Linked DNA regions of Tribolium castaneum. The protein of the gene in region 1 interacts with the protein of each later gene in a biochemical or structural test. Links are inferred from orthologs where the notes say so. Each region holds a gene or a part of one and is shown on either strand. Other genes may lie near its edges.

Region 1 (4,470 bases):
AATGATTTTAAGGCGCTTCAGTACGCTTTATTCACGACGTGTTTCGTCGAAATCCTGGGAGCATTCTTCTTCCTCGTCAATGCCTTGTACATTTTGCAAGATAAGCACAAAGTCGACAAAGCAATTCAGGGTGAGTGGTTTTCGTAGTTGCACAAATAAAGGGTGTTTTTACTAGCGACTAGTCAGAAAAGTAGCGTTCTGTATGACGTAGCGACGAGTTTAACCGACTATCCTATATCTCGTAGAATGTAACTGTTTTATTTCATTAAATGTTCCATTTCTGATTGGTCTGGTTTGAGCGTTTTTTAATGACTTGCTTTGTGCAGAGGTTTCGGATTATGGCACTACGGGCCAAGGAGATGTGGTTTCTAGTCAGTCGACTGAATGATGTATGTGATTTTTTATTGTGCGAGGTGGCGGGTCTTTGCTTATTTTCTTCTTGTGTCTGAAGTTAGTCTCATGGTGCTTTTCGTTTCAGCAAACTCCCAACAACTCCTAACGGATGGTTCAGAAACGGAAAATCCTTCCTGATTATTGGTGTATTAAGCGAGTGAATTAGACTTTCGTAGCGCGTGTGATTTGAACGTGTAAGGTTTTTCGTGTAAATATGAGTTTGTGAGAGTACTAATTGTGTTTTGTACAAGACTGATTTTCATTTGCGTTTTGTCAAACGTAAAGATCAAATACGCACACGATTTCGTATTATATTATGATCTTGTGATCATTCAGTACGTTTTTTAGAATGGTATTAGTTATTGTTTTATTTATTACAAATTTGTTATCACATATAGCGAAATAAAAATTAATAAGCCACACTCGAGTGATTCTAATCCAATCCTAATCCCAATGAAACACACGTTTAGGTAAATAATAGTATATTGAATGAAAAAGTAAAAACGTAAAAAATACAAAACATATAACAAAAAAAACAAGTGGTAATACTATGTAAAGATTAAACGAAAGAGATTCTTCGTCTCTTTGGTATTACGAGATTGTCACCCGAATCGTTATTTTCTTCGAAAGTTTGCACCAATTCTTCCACATTTCTTCTGGTTTCGTGATCCTGAAATATCAAATATAACAAATCCACGTTTTTATCTCGTAACGTAAAAAATATATTAAACATTACCTTTGCCACCCAGTCGTGTTTAAAAATATCTACAATGGAATAACGACAAGTTGAGTCCACCGTGATCATAGATTTCACGAGATTTTTCGCCGGCAATGACACATTTCTCCAAGCTTTAGGGTCCCAAGTTATTTTGCCACTCACTATATTTTTAGCGACTTCTTCCCTACTTGAACCACTGAAAAGAAATTAAAAGAAAATCGGATATTTTCATTTTTATCGCTAGGATAAAATAGGTGAATACAAAAAACAAACTAGCAGCCACACTTCTACTACTCACATTATCCTACTTGAAAGGCGCTGAACATAGCGAAGCGAGGCCTGTATGTTTAAAATTAAAGACTTAATTCCAAAAATTTTCAAATTTGACACACTTTTTTGGGCCACTACTTACACAAAGGGCTGCGTCCGGCTCAGCATATAAAACAGAATCACTCCGAGGCTCCAAACGTCCACTTTCCGGCTATAGGGCTCAAAGAACCTTAATACTTCTGGTGCCGCGTACTGGACGGTCCCACAGACCGTCTCCATCACGCTGATATCGTCCATGATCTTGCTCAAACCAAAATCGGAGATTTTCACTCTCGGGTATTGGTTTTGCGTACTCAGAAGTACGTTTTCAGGCTAAAGACATAATTAAAAATGTGTTTAACAAAATGTGGTTGTTTTACTTTCAAGTCCCTGTGTGTCACCCCGTTTAAGTGTAAATACCTCACACCTAGTAAGATTTGGTAAAAAATAAACTTCACCTCGCATTCGGGGAACGCCAAAGTCGAACGAATCCGACTTGTGAGTTCGCCCCCACTCATGTATTCTAAAACTAGGAACACCTCGTCATCAGTCTCAAAAACCTCCCTCATTTGGATAATAAAAGCCTGAAATTTTGGACATTATTTCACACAATTGTGGGTACTAGTGATAATTACATGAGAGAACGAACTCAGTATCTCAACTTCCGTTTTAATGCCACTTATGTTGTTTCCCCGGCGTGTTGAGACACTAGACCTTGATTTATCAATTCGTTTGATTGCGAATTGCTCCCGAGTTTGCTACAATTACGGTTCATTTGAGGTAAAAACAAAGCGAACTAAACCTTATCAAGGGCTAGACGGACTTGGCCGAAGGAACCACGTCCTAAGAGCTTCGTGGTGGTGTATTTTAGCCGCAACTCCTGAGGTAGGAACTCATAATCGTCGCGATTGATGTCACTGATAAAACTGTAGACTGAATAAAACGTTAAGACATGTGTGGCACTTATGCAGCTAATACCTCTGGTACTGGGGCTCCCTATTGCTATAATATCCTCGTTGTAAATGACACATTCGTTATTTCTGCCTATTTTCGTTCTATTAACGAAAGTGCCATTCTTACTGAGGTCTGTGAGAAACACGAGACCCTCCTCGTCCTTCGTTAGCCGAAAATGTTGCTTGCTAACGTTCAAAATCGTGGGAAACTGACTTTCGTCAACGAAAATATTGCAACTGGGGGCTCGTCCAAAAGTGTACACCGGCTCGAACAAGTCTGGAATTTCACAAGTTTGGCAGTGCTAGCCCCCTTGTAAACTTACCAATCGACACCATTGTCGAGATACAGGCGCACAACCGCCCCCATGGTCGTTTCACCTCCCCCAGCTCCTGAGAGGGCTCGTCGGTTTGGGTCTGAGTCAGGGGCAGGTCTGTGGCTTCCAACATACTTAAGTAAAGGTGTACAATAACAAAAAATGAGGTGATAACAATATGGCACTAAATTTAAACGAAAAAACTTGCCTACATCTCGCAACAATCGGTAGACATGTTTTTGACAAACAAAAGGCGCGAAATGGGGGCTTGTGATTGGTCAAGAGACACGTGCGCCAAGCGCGCGGATTTCGAATCACTGATAAAAGGAACAAATTTTTGTTTTTGTGACCCGGCCGTGACCACGGATAAGTAAATTAGTTGCAAAGTTACAATGAAGCTCGCTGCGGTTCTCTCACTCGTGATTTTGACCCAAGGAGAAGAGTTTTCGCAAGCTAATTATTTGTTCACTTCTGATGTTTACAAAGTGAGTGCGTTTGAAACAAACATAAAACTTACATTTTTCACAGGAGTGTGTTAAAAATGAGGGCGGTAATTTACTAGTGAGTCCCCTTTCCGTGGAAATAGTCCTAGCATTGGCCCAGTGTGGTGCCAGAGATGAGACAGCACGAGAAATCCAAACCGCTTTACATTTGGCCAGTTCTGACCAAAAAACTGCTTTCAAAAGTGTTATTTCGGGCCTTAAGGGGGGCGAACACTACTCGCTTCACACAGCCAACAAGATTTATCTTCACGATAATTTCTCGATTAGGGACGATTTTAAGACAATTGCTACAGAAATGTTCCAATCAGAGGTTGAAAATATAGATTTTTCGAAAACTGAGGCAGCTGGGATTATAAATAAGTGGGTCGAGGACCAAACGAACCAAAAAATAAAAAACTTGGTGCGTCCCGAAAGTCTCCAAAACAGCCCTTCTGTCCTGGTCAATGCGCTTTATTTCAAGGCGCGTTGGGCCTCTAAAAACTTCCTTAAATACCCCTACTTAACTAAGATTTTTTCCAAAACGGCCACTGACCAGATTGAAAGTGAATTCATGATAGATATAGGCGGTTCTTATCAACTGCACGAAGATAAAGAACTGGGCGCTCGGTTCCTGAAAGCTCCGTTTAAAGGACAAGACGCCCATATGGTTTTCGTGCTACCAGACGCTGTGGACGGGCTTGGAAGACTTGAGGAACAAGCGGATAAAATTTTCAGGGAACATTCGTTCCAGCCGGTTATTATAAACGTGGAGTTACCACGGTTCAAAATTGAGAGTACCGTTAATTTCAAGTCGATATTGCAAAAGGTGTGCGAATCATGAACGCAATATCTTAATATTATTCCAATTGTAGTTAGGTGTTCGGAAAGCTTTTATGAACGGCGAGGCCGATTTTAGCGGAATTGCTGGAAAAAAGGGGGAGCTTGTCGTGGGGCAGGTTACACAAAAGAGTTACATTGATGTTAACAAGGATGGGGTGGAAGCAGCAGCTGCCACGAATTTAGGTACGGTTTTGTCAGGGAAATATTTGTTTTAGCGTTTTTTTAGTGTTTACGCTGTCTGGGCCGCCACGAACTACGAAAGAATTTAAAGCAAATCATCCATTTTTGTTTTACATTCAAGCCAAAGGCGTGGTGCTGTTTGCAGGAAGAGTTGTTGATCCGAAATATTAAACACTGTAGTTTGGTTTCAATAAAAGATTGAACAGGAAATATAACTCTTTTTTTATACCTACGTTTAAATGTTATGAGGTGTTTACATTTCACAAAAAACAAATAACATC
Region 2 (4,507 bases), on another chromosome or scaffold:
CAGAACATGTTACTGGCCCTGAGAACAGTTACTCGAGTTACCTCTGCTGTGGTCTCGGGAGCCACATCAACAACATCCGGGACTACGCCGTGTTTTTCCATATTTTTTGCTACAGAAGAGAAAAAACGACTAGAATATACCGGTCGTCTAAGAGCAAACATTTTGCTGAAAAAATTTACTTAAGTGGGGTGGGGGTGGAATTTGATTTTCTGGGGCCTCTACACACGACAAGGGTTAATCACAAAAACTCACCTAAGATCTTTCCAGAACACAATCACAAGTTGCAAAAATGACAGAAAAATGCCGGCTGTTGTCGTCATAGGCTGACACCTATTGTTGGAAAATGGAAGCATGCATTACATAATCTATTACGCAATATATTTAGCTACAGCTTGATAGATGTCGCTTCATAAATTTGTTTCTTTAATTCTTTTAATTGGTGGTGATTTCACTAACTGCCACTTAACTGTTTTAAATCTGACGGCCAGTTATGATGTACTTGTGAAAATATTACGGCACTTCAACGGTTAAATTTTTCTAGGAAGGCAAGTCGGATTTTTCCCGCTGATTGGTAGATGGCGCGTTGTAGCTTTCTAGCGGTAAATAACCGATGCAAAATAACGAATTTGTTGTGCAAGGGTAAAGAAAGTTCGTTTTGATGTGGAACAAAAATGTATTATCATAAGTTATAAAAATATTAAAATATTGTACAGATCTATAATATTAAGTATCACTTTAAAAATCTATGATGCAACGGATGGGTAAGCATCAGTCCGTCCAAATAGTGAACAAATCACATTCAAGTAGTATAAAATCCCCAGCCGTTGCATTCGAACACATTTGAATATGCTGAAGGATACAAAAACAATACTGACACTTAGACTATACTAAACTAATAAAATGAACATAAAAAATCTGCAAACAAACACCAGCGCAACAGCAAGGAAGCATAATGTACTGGTAAAGAAATGCAACATCACATCGTTATTGCTGTTCAAATTGCACATAAAAAATAAATTAAAGGGGGACCAGGATGATCCGTCGACTGTCTAAATAACAAAAAGAAAACTTTGGTGGTTTAGCATTGCAAAAGGAAAGATCTCATCTCAACTACTCTGGAGCAAGCTATTTAGGTACTCTCTTATATACAGTTGTAATATACACTAAGAAGACTAAGTCTTCAGGATACATGCTAATATAGCACATTACTTTGTACATATCATTTGGCAAACAAGTCCGCGCACTTGTATTTTGTACTATCTCACAAATTTTGGCACTGGGATTCGATATTTACAGTCCTAGTCTTTTCAAATTGTGACGGCACCCGGACCGTTGACGCGTATCAGCATTCCAGGTTTTGGATTTGAGCCGGAAATGTCGCAACTCATTCTCATATTCCGGGTGCAGCATCTCCGTGTAGGCTATAGGAACGCAGAGGTCGGAATATTCCTCGAAGAACTTCTTATAGCCACCCTCAAGTAGGTAGACTTCGGGGTAGTGCAACGAAGGGTAGACGTCCTGGTTGAGCTGGCGGTCCTGCTCACGCAAATACCGATATCTGGAAGCAAAAACATCATTAGCACGGCGATACAACCCTCCAGAAGCAAAACTTACAAATCTGGACCCCGCTTGCTCGAAAACTCGCAATGGAAAACCAGGATATTGCTCCTTTTGCGCGGCTCCTTGCTCGCAGAGGCGACGTTAGTTAATAGTTCCATGCACTGCTCCTTGGTGTAGACGTTAATGGCGCCGTCAATATGGCCACCCTTGTACTCGTAAGGGTACCGGCAATCGATAACTTTGTAAGAGGCGACGTTTCCGCTAAAGTCACCACGGATTAGTTTGGCCAAAGTGTCAGCAGTGATGCACTTCAAGTCCTGATGACGGCCTTGCGTTAAGGGCAAACAAAACGTCTTGCTGAAGTCACCGATGAGGTCTGGCTCCACGAATGACCTCTGGACCGCAAACTTTATACTCTCCTCCGTCGCAGACACGCATCTCTGAAGCACAGGCCTTGCGACTGGAACAGCGGCTTCCTCATCCTCAATTTTCTGTTTTTTCGAATTTGGGCTTTCGAATCCTTGCGGCGGTTCTGGTCTCTTAAACGGGCGAGATTCTGTTGTTTTGAAGAGGCAAGACCTGACCCTGCTTGGCGGCGTCCTTTCAGTTTGCAAGGACAAAGCCCTTCGAAATAAGGGCCGAATTACTAGATCCCTCGGCGAAGTCGGTGTCTCTTTCCGGTTCTGGAAATTGATCGGTCCAGTGATCAATTTCCCGAAATCCTGCGGCAAGTTGTCCTCCAAGGGCTCAATATCGGAAAAATCCTCGAAAAACTCGTCCTCCATGGACCCGATCGAGGCCAGTTCGAACGACCCCCGAGTCGGGGAAGCATAAGTCGAGAATTTACCCTCATTGTAATTAGCAACGTAACCGGAATCGCGCGAATTGGGGTCGTGGTCCTCAAGGGGGCGCCGAGTTATTATATTGTGGTTGCAGTGATTCGGTGAAGTCCCGGAGCAGATTATTGCCGGAGGACTCGAATTTCCGTAAAACGATAACTCTTCTATTTTGACCGGACTTAACGCTTGCTGAATATTTTCTTTATCCAAACAAGAATCGTCCCCTCGTTTCGATCTGAAACAAAAACGGCCTTGAATTAATCAAACAAAACGAGCAGTTCCGGACCTGTCCCCCCGAAAATGCAAAAACGGCGTTTCCCGCCCGAAACCAGCAAACTGAATTTTGAGTGTCCTTGTCACCTTTATCACCCAAAAAACGCAGGGTCAAAAAAACGCCCAACCGCAGGCCCAAAAAATTACTATCGGGGAAAAACGCGTCAACTGTGCATACGTAATCCACAAAATTATGATAAACTGATAAGTGGTTCGGGGGTTGTTCGCGAAATCGCGAAGGGGCTGAAAACCGCACGGCAATTACCTTGGGGGGCACTGGCAGACATCACAAGAATCCGTGCTTATCGAATCCCACATTGTCGGAAGAAAGCGGTGAAATATCCTTAAAACGTCTTAAAATCTAACACAAGCAACAAGCACTCAAACCAGGACGATACGTCCTCGCACACCACACAAACGCGACTTGGAAGTGAAGGTAGCCTACCTCAGTCTTTATCCTATTACAGCTCGTCCCCACATCGTCGGTGGGGAGTAGGGATAGGGCAAGGGCGCCAAAAGAAAGCAAGGGAGGGGCGCCTGGGAATGAAAATTTTTACCATACACCCTTTCCGCATTTTTGGAAAAAATCCAGTTTCTTTACAAAACTTGCGCCTAATTTGGAACGGGTCTTGGGAAAAAACAGCGTGCGAACCCGCGTGATATATTTGGAATTAATCACGTAATATTTAAATATTAATAGACCGGACAGCGAGAATTCCGAATTAGCCAAATTTATTTTATCCGATTTGTTATTTATTCAGAATTAAATTTATTTCTGTTTGTACATCTCCAATTTTTTGATTTATTCCCCTCTTTCGCATCGAAAAAACGCAAATGTTTATTCATGTGAGGAAGTTCAAAATTCCTAGATAAATGTTCTGCGATTTATTCACTTGATGTTTCGGTACAAATGTGTTATCAGCATTTCAGTTTAATTTTATTTTTTGGTGAAAATAATAGTGGATCAATAAGATAAATAAATTGTGTTAAACTAATAAATTGTCGGTGAAAATAATAAATAAATAAATGGCCAGTACGCAACAGATGCTGATAAATTCAAAAAATGCATTATTTGCATTATTTTGAAATAAGCTAGGCATTTGGCATATTTATAATTAGTGAGTTTTGTTACTGTTTTATTTCACTTTGCTTTATATGGAATAAATAAATGGATTTTTACTGCTCTAAAATTCGATTTTTCTTTTCAAATTTCCGAATCAGAATACTGTTCACTTATGGATTCATGTTTCAGACTTTATTGAAGTCTGGTTAAACATTTGGTTGCCGAGGCTCAGAATCTGATCTGAAAATTGTTATCCTTGAGTGAGCATAGCGAGCTAAATAGTTATGAAGTTGAGTATCTTTCTTCCTTGGCAGCTGTTGAGCGGTCAGTTCTTTTTGCATTTCAGTTTGATATTTATGTATCACATTGAACTATAGCACATGTTGATAAATTTATTTATTTAAAATTGATACAGTTTTGTTTATCCTAATCGAAGGAAATGGGAGCAAATGAAGTCAGCACATGAATAAAATTTTTGGTTGTGGTGTATGACGCCGAGAAATATTTATATTTGAGGCATGTGTGTGATAAGTATAGAATGTGTTGAATTGGCATTTAAGACCGTTCTGAAACCTGAATATAGCGTTATCAGAGTGAGAGTTATACTGTATGCCTCCGATAGGAAGAGATCAGAGGATCATTCGCGTGAGAATAATACGTTCCCTGTAAGTGACATGGGAACTGGCCGAACAATTGGATCATTGTGCGAAATGCGCAGACTGGATACAGGAAAATTTACCTTTATCCCGGCAAATTGCCGACGTTCCCACCT
Region 3 (4,452 bases), about 2.3 Mb from region 1:
TGGCACTCCAGAGTGACAAAATCCTTAGAACCGTAAGACTCTAGCGTTGTTGAGATTTTACACAGCGAGGTGGCGAGTGGGTAATTTACTAAAGTCTGGTTCACAATGCACAAGTGTGCGATCAGTTCGCACATCTCGCGCTTGTTTTGCTTGTAAAGTTGGCTGGGGGTGGTGTCGTGGAGCTCAGCCAACTTGAAGAATTTATTTACGGCGATTAGCGAATGTTTGGACGTCGGCACCATGATGAAATAAATCAAAATTCGAATTGTTGGTAAAACAGTTCTCTCGCATCTAACGTTGCAAATTTCCTCAACTGTACACAAGAGTGTCTCTTGCAAGGTAAAATCGCTAGTTTGGAGACTCCTCTTGCAAAGCCTCAATAAACAATTGAAGAGTATTTCAATTGTTTCACTTTTAGTAGTGTCGCTCAAAACTTGATTCTCTTGCGCACACTTGATAATTTTTGGGACCACTTTCGCGAACGTTTTTCGCACGTTTTCGTCAGAATCGCCGATTTTTTCGACCCAAATTTTGGCAACGTTGCCCGAATGGAATTTGAGGATGTGGTTGGAGCAAAACGGCAACACCTCCAAGGCTCTCGATTTGAGGCCCGCATTGTCAAGAGTGAGGAATTTGAGGACGTTTTTCAAAATGGCGCCTTGGAGAGTTGTCAAATCGACGTCAATTTTGGCAAAAGTGACACTCAATCCGTCACTTGTCAAGTCATGACATTTTTTACAAAAAATGTCAATTTTGACTTGACACTCTTCGATTCGTGTCAGTTTGACAAAATCACTCGACGAGACGCAAATAATGTCAGGCAGGGCTTCGGTCACTTCTTCCAAAACCCGTTCGTTTGATGACGAAAGGGCCGGTGTGAGGATTTCCGAAATGACCCGGTCTGGGTTTTGAAAGATTGTCAAAATGTGGGCTAAATGCCTGACAACCCCCACGTTATTCATTTGTTTGGTGATTTTCATAAAGTTTGATTCAATTTCGTAAATTTGGGCGATTTCGAAAAAACCGCTCGAAATTCGCGCCAAAAATTCATTCAAGTATTCAAACGCGACGTCCTTTGGGGCGTAACGAGTGACGTATTTGCAAAATTCGGTCATTTCCTTTTTGTATCGTGGGAAATCGCTCGTGCCTTGAAAGTGTCCAAAGCTGAGTTGATTTTGCACAAAAATACAAGAAAACATATCGAAGAAAAAAGTAACGTTTGGGGGACTGGTAACGAAGACTAGACTCAAAAAACAGTCGAAAATTGAGGGCATTGGCACGTTGTTGTCACACGTGGCGAAATGGCGATTGAGGAGTGCCAGGATTTTGATGAGGAAAATTTTCTCCTCAAAAAATTCCAAATTCGAGTTTTTCATTTCGATTGCGACTTCGGTAAGGATTGTTGCAAGGTGGGTCAGAAATTTCAAAAATTGGGGTATTTTACAGTCTTTAGTGCAATCGGTGGCTTCAATTTGTTGCATAAATTGGCCACGAAAAATTTTCCATTTGTCCGAATGTACACACTTGATTTTACAAGCCTCCTGTCTTATATTTCTAACTTGGGTCAACAAAAATGACTTAAAACCACAAAGTACCGACGTATTGAAATCAGCTAAGGCCGTTTTGACGAAACTTTCATAATTGTATTCTCCAAACAAGGGGGTACACCTCTTGCGTTTACAAAAATTCAAAAGTGGCTCCGATGGCGCAATTTCGCCGGTTTTGGTGAGCAAAAACTCGCTCAATTTTTCGAAAATTTGGGTATCCAAATTCTGGCCGAAAAACTCAAACGTGATGAGTTCAAACGATTGGAATTCTTTTGTACTTGTGGCTATTTTACAATTGTAAATTTCATAAACTAACTGTTCGAAATATCGCCCGAACAGCTCCATTTTAAACCGGATTAAGTCACCGAAATCGTTCTTCTTGTCGAATTTTTTGGCCAAATCGAGATAAATCTTTAGAATTTCGATTTTTACGGCGACTGAAGAATAGGAAAGAAAAAACAACAAATCGTCCAAATTCCGGTACGTGGCGCTTGTGTAACAGTCAGACTCTACGCTTTGGCCCAAAATAAATTTAACAATCCTCAACAAATTGAGGAAAAAATCGGGGAAGTTTCTCTGATTGATTTCGATAGCGATCGGCTCGAGGTTCAATTTCTGGCACAAATCTGCGTATTTCTCGGGGACAAAAACGTTGAGAGTTAAGGTGCTGTGCCCGGATTTGACAAAATGGCACAAACTGTTCAGGGTTTCGCAATAGTCCCGTGCCAACTCATCGTAAACGCTCAATTGTGTGTTTGATAGCTGTTCCAAGACACACAACTGGATCTCAACGTAAACATTGTGACTTTTGCACAACTTTTCGCAACTCAGAAGGTAGAAAAAGCGGCCGAGAAACCACGTCGTGAAGGACTTGTACTTCCCGGCGATCCTTCGGTAGTCGTCAAGACTGCTCAGGGGGTCCCTGCTGTAGACGAAAATGGTTGTGAAATCCCCCGATTTGATTATTTTAGCCAAATGTTCGGCGCTCTTTTCGGACGGTTTCATGCTCATTAGGGCCGGAATTGTCGCGCTTAAGGTCTCCCAAATGGAAAAAGCCGGGATTTCGTCGTGTAGTGACATGACTTAACCTAACAAAAAATGTAACGGTACTTACGTCACGGGGGCCGAAAGTACTTACATAAAGGAGATAAAAAATCACAAACTAGAAATAATTACACGAAACATTGTCTAATTCACGAAAACAGACTACATTTTTTGACTTTTGGCGCAATCCCGCGCAATGGAACTGAATCGTGTGAAGTTGGCAACAGGTGCTGATTTAAATCGGGTGATAATTCGGAAACCAATGTATGAAATAAAGTGATTGTTGTAAATTTAAATAAAGTAAGGGAATATTTATTGGGTTATTTTTTTTAATAATTATTAGGGCACGTGTAAGAGGTGTGTTAGTATCCACTGGTGTGAAATTAGCCACAATGACATAACCTCAAGTAATAAAAATCCTTTATTTCTTTAATACAAAAATAACAATTCAGTGCCGTTTCCTCTTCTTCTCTTTCAATTTCATCTTCTGCTTGTTCTCCCGCCTCGCCTTCTTCCTCTGCTTCTGCCCCTCGATTTTCGTCTTCATCTGGAAAACCTTGCTCTTCTGCACTTTCTTGGTGGCCTCCTTTTTGAGTAATCGCTTCACGTCGCGTTCTGAATCAAACTTCCGATTCACTTTACTGTCCTTCTTCTTCAATTCCATCCCAGGCACTTCACTGACTTCACTTTCTTCCTGTTCAACATCTTCACAAATCGGCTGATTGGCCCCAATCCAGTTACTCTCTTTGGCGATCACGTCGGTCGATAACTCCTCAATTCTGACAGTGGCATCATCGTCCTCATACTCCTCTTTGAGAAGGGTCTCCAATTCAGGGATTGGCCGATGGGAGACAACCAATTTTTTGTAAGACTCCTTCGCCTCTGACTTGAGACGCTTCCGCTCCTCCTTCAAGTCGCGCTCGAGCTTCTCGCGGGCTTCTTTCTTGCGCTGGAGCTTGCGTTTGTGGAAACCGGTGAGAAAATCCCTGTGAGGTTATGTAGTGACATGTGCTCAATTCATTACACGTAAAAACGGCGAAATTCAACGAACCTACGCTTCTTTTCGTCGAACACCAGGTGTATTTTGTTTGTGCGATTTTTGGGATTTTTTTGGCGATTTTTTTTAACTGATGAACCCGCAGCCATTTTGACAATTTGTGTTTTCTTTTTTCCAGTACTCGAAGTAAATAAGTCAAGGCGAAAGCCGTGCTCATACTGCGGTTCAACCGCGATTTAAAAATCACTCTTTCATTTGGCTGAAAAATGGTAAATTTGTTCACAAATGCGAGAATGTAGGCAGTTAGTGGTTGCTAAAATTTTGGTTTTTGAGGGAGTTTTGAGTCATGTTATGAAATTGGGAGTTTCGTTGATTAATCATCCCTTTCACGCCTTTGGTGAATTTTTCGACCAATCACAGCCATATCGTGGCATAAAGTCGGCGCTCATCTCATCATGGCTGTCAGTATAAATTTGATCGTAGAATCATGAACTTCCCTTCATTTAAATCGTCATATAACCCGAATTTTTCGCCAATCTTTGCACCAAAGCGCCGAAAAGTGATGATGAAACGCTACAAAATGTCCCTGTCGATCAAGTGACACCGTCTCCGGCCCTAAAGTAAGTGCCCTTGCCCCAAAACCCCCAAAAACCCCGATTTTCCCCAACGCTCCGATCTCCATATTAGCCCGAAAATCGGGCACTTGACCTCGCTCATCCTCAAATTTCGCACTTCCAGATCAATTCGGAGCCTTTCCATATGTTCGCGTTAACCCCAATTAATCATGACGTCGAGCAGGTGAGAGTTCTGTCAAAAATCTCGGACAATTTCGAAAAAAATCATTTATCAGGTTGGACAGACTGT
Region 4 (2,753 bases), on another chromosome or scaffold:
AGAAAATAAAACCACAAATTTTTCCGCAAGATATTTTTTGTGCCATTTTTTGCTCCCGCCAATATTTTTTTTGTTGACTTAAAATTTTTAAAAATATTTAAATTCACAAATTTTTAGAAAATTTTTCCGCGAGCAATTTTTTTATGCCATTTTTTGCTCCCGACCAAATTTTTGCGGACTTTATATTTTTACAAAAAATTTTCAGAAAAATTTTTTCGCAAGCCATTTTTTGTTCTCGCCAATATTTTTTGTGCCATTTTTTGCCCTTTTTGTGCCATTTTTTGTTGACTTAAAATTTTTGAAAATTTTTAACAGAAAATAAAATCACTAATTTTTAGAAAAATTTTCCGCGAGCTATTTTTTGCGCCATTTTTTGCCCTTTTTGTACCATTTTTTGTTGACTTAAAATTTTTGAAAATTTTTAACAGAAAATAAAATCACTAATTTTTAGAAAAATTTTCCGCAAGCTATTTTTTGCGCCATTTTTTGCCCTTTTTGTGCCATTTTTTGCCCTTTTTATGCCATTTTTTGCCTCCGCCCAGATTTTTTGCGGACTTATATTTTTACAAAAATTTTTCAGAAAATAAAAATCGCAAATTTTTCCGCAAGGCATACTTTGCCAAAATTTTTTTCCCATTTTTTGCTTCCCCCTCGCAAAAAATCCAACAAAAAAGGGTCCGTTTAAATTTTAAGAAAATTTCCAATTTTCAATCGTATTTTGCGCGATTTTCGGGATTCAAAAAATAAACAAACCAGTAAAACTATAAATTTATTCAATTGCGAAAATAATACATTTCCTCATTTATTATAAATATACATTTCTTTGTTTCGCCTAAGTTTATTAACACATTTATTTTTCCAACACTTGGTAACAAAGGCACAAAAATGTTTTAGACGTGTTTCCATGACAAAACCTAAAAGAACAACACATTCGCAATAACACAAACCTAAAGCTCATGTGAACACTTGAGAAAAATATACGGAACTAAAATATATTATGTATAAAAAATCACGTAGATGTTTCCCATCTTAGATTAAAAAATTAAAACTAGAACGAAATAACCGATGGCTCAATTCTTCCGCGGCAATCTTCGATTGCGTCCCTTTTGCACGTCACTCCTTTTTGGCATCGATTTCTGGGGCGGCTTCGCCTTCACACCTGAAAAACAACCAATCAACACCAGTCCCCGCCTCAAACTCCGCCCACCTTTCGCGGCGCGATACCTCCTCTTTGTACTTGACTTGGCTTTAACCAGCCTCTTCTTCGCCACTTGCACTTTCTTCTTAATCGAAATCTTCTTACTCCTAAGAATGCGCTGCGCTAGCGTCAACTTACTCTTCTTCCGCTCGTGCGCTAACCTACTGCTCTTGCGCACTTTGGTCAGCCCCTCCTTCACGACACGCCCCTTCCCCCCACTCCTCAGATTATGAATGGGCGCCTCGTTCGAGTTCTCGTCACAGTCGCTCGAACTCGACGAAATCTCATTGATCTGAATCGACTCATCCTTGAGATTTTCCTTATCCTCGGCCTCCTTCGGGTCAAAGCTGGTGCTTTCGCGCGGCTTCGACGCAAAATTGCGCTCCTTCAATGGGAAGCTGTCGCTCGAGGTCACGGGACTGGCCTCCGCCTCGCCATTGGTCGACTCGGGGGGCGTGGCCGCCACGCCCCCCTCCTCATACCGCGTCATTATCTCCAGCCCGGTGTCTGGATACGCGTTTTTCTTGCGGTTTTTCAGCACTTGGGCCCTCGGGGGACCTGGGGGGTCCAGCATGAGCGTGACCACCGAGGTGTTGTCGGCCCGCATCTTGGTGTTGTGCCAGCGCTCCAGCGCCTTCTCCACCAGGAGCTTGCTGGGGTTGAGCCACGTTTTGTTGATCGAGTCGCTGAGGGCGGCGTTTTCGTTATGGCGTTCCGCCTGCTGGACGATGTGCACGGCGTTCTGGGGGCTGAGCATGTTGAAGAGGCCGTCGGTGCCGAAGACGAGACAGCGGTGGGTCGAGGTATCGATTGTGAAGACGGCACAGTCGGGGTCGGGGGATACGATGAATTGGTTGATTTGGGAGTTGTAAGACCATAAGTCGCCAAGGCTTCGCGCCACGGCCAGGAAGGGGATCTCGTCGATGGGGGTGGAGCGACGCACGGGGCCCTGGTGCCCCATTTTGGGGCGGTTCCACACCACGCGCGGCACGCCTGCAAGAAATGCAAGTGGAACTGTAGGAGTTTCCCCTCCAGACGCCATTGCGAGCGACAGCCAGCCTCCCCTCCGGACGCCATTTTTATTTCGCAAATTTCGGGTAAAACGAGCCGAAAATGCACCAACTCGGGGCAAAAATTTGTTAAATTTAATTGTTAGTGTTTTGTAAAAAAAAACAAAATTAAAAAAACAGCGTAACTGATTTTATTTTTGCGGTTTTGAAGTAGAGAGTACATTAAAACATGTGAAACATCACAAAAACTTCATAATAAAAGCACTTTTACGTCAATCATTGTTTATTTTTTCCTTTTTATTCTTTTTTTATTTTTGTTTTCGTTACTTTGTTAACATTTTTTTTTTGGATTTTACAAATTTTATTTTTTTCATTTTGCAAGATCAGGCCGAAAAATCGCCAAATCGTATTAAAAAATTTGCCTTATTTTAGCGTTTTAGATTTTGCAATTTTCTCTCGGAATTTTCTAAAAAATAAACCAGAAAAATTAATGAATTAGTTCAAAAATAGAAGGTTTGTCATGAAAAATCGCTCAATTAAAACAA

The links.
Region 2: of the proteins of serine/threonine-protein kinase Chk2 (region 1) and M-phase inducer phosphatase, one has a biochemical effect on the other in vitro, tested with the Homo sapiens proteins (5 studies listed by BioGRID, with this or other methods). The link is inferred for Tribolium castaneum from reciprocal best matches to the Homo sapiens genes CHEK2 and CDC25A.
Region 3: of the proteins of serine/threonine-protein kinase Chk2 (region 1) and serine/threonine-protein kinase ATR, one has a biochemical effect on the other in vitro, tested with the Homo sapiens proteins (2 studies listed by BioGRID). The link is inferred for Tribolium castaneum from reciprocal best matches to the Homo sapiens genes CHEK2 and ATR.
Region 4: of the proteins of serine/threonine-protein kinase Chk2 (region 1) and Pp2C1, one has a biochemical effect on the other in vitro, tested with the Homo sapiens proteins (2 studies listed by BioGRID, with this or other methods). The link is inferred for Tribolium castaneum from reciprocal best matches to the Homo sapiens genes CHEK2 and PPM1D.

What each region holds. Positions count from the first base shown.
Region 1 is NC_087399.1:4,988,658-4,993,127, reverse strand, and holds serine/threonine-protein kinase Chk2, read right to left. Parts: upstream 2,956-4,470; 5' UTR 2,821-2,955; coding exon 2,697-2,820; intron 2,651-2,696; coding exon 2,399-2,650; intron 2,354-2,398; coding exon 2,223-2,353; intron 2,179-2,222; coding exon 2,056-2,178; intron 2,005-2,055; coding exon 1,801-2,004; intron 1,754-1,800; coding exon 1,524-1,753; intron 1,451-1,523; coding exon of another isoform or gene 1,411-1,450; exon of another isoform or gene 1,410-1,410; intron 1,308-1,409; coding exon 1,130-1,307; intron 1,064-1,129; coding exon 953-1,063; 3' UTR 859-952; downstream 1-858. Other genes in the region: spin (protein spinster), read left to right, coding at 1-130, 176-252; serpin B3, read left to right, coding at 3,080-3,172, 3,216-3,995, 4,042-4,192, 4,236-4,360. UniProt on the Homo sapiens protein: Serine/threonine-protein kinase which is required for checkpoint-mediated cell cycle arrest, activation of DNA repair and apoptosis in response to the presence of DNA double-strand breaks.
Region 2 is NC_087403.1:1,088,856-1,093,362, reverse strand, and holds M-phase inducer phosphatase, read right to left. Parts: upstream 3,142-4,507; 5' UTR 2,991-3,141; coding exon 2,938-2,990; intron 2,635-2,937; coding exon 1,615-2,634; intron 1,559-1,614; coding exon 1,291-1,558; 3' UTR 654-1,290; downstream 1-653. Other genes in the region: protein D3, read right to left, coding at 42-165, 253-353. UniProt on the Homo sapiens protein: Tyrosine protein phosphatase which functions as a dosage-dependent inducer of mitotic progression. Directly dephosphorylates CDK1 and stimulates its kinase activity. Also dephosphorylates CDK2 in complex with cyclin-E, in vitro.
Region 3 is NC_087399.1:7,319,084-7,323,535, forward strand, and holds the start of serine/threonine-protein kinase ATR, read right to left. Parts: upstream 2,903-4,452; 5' UTR 2,628-2,902; coding exon 1-2,627. Other genes in the region: vito (nucleolar protein 12), read right to left, coding at 3,040-3,577, 3,643-3,737; Hel89B (TATA-binding protein-associated factor 172), read left to right, coding at 4,373-4,386, 4,439-4,452. UniProt on the Homo sapiens protein: Serine/threonine protein kinase which activates checkpoint signaling upon genotoxic stresses such as ionizing radiation (IR), ultraviolet light (UV), or DNA replication stalling, thereby acting as a DNA damage sensor.
Region 4 is NC_087401.1:15,494,327-15,497,079, reverse strand, and holds the end of Pp2C1 (protein phosphatase 1D), read right to left. Parts: intron 2,192-2,753; coding exon 1,208-2,191; intron 1,160-1,207; coding exon 1,071-1,159; 3' UTR 757-1,070; downstream 1-756. UniProt on the Homo sapiens protein: Involved in the negative regulation of p53 expression. Required for the relief of p53-dependent checkpoint mediated cell cycle arrest.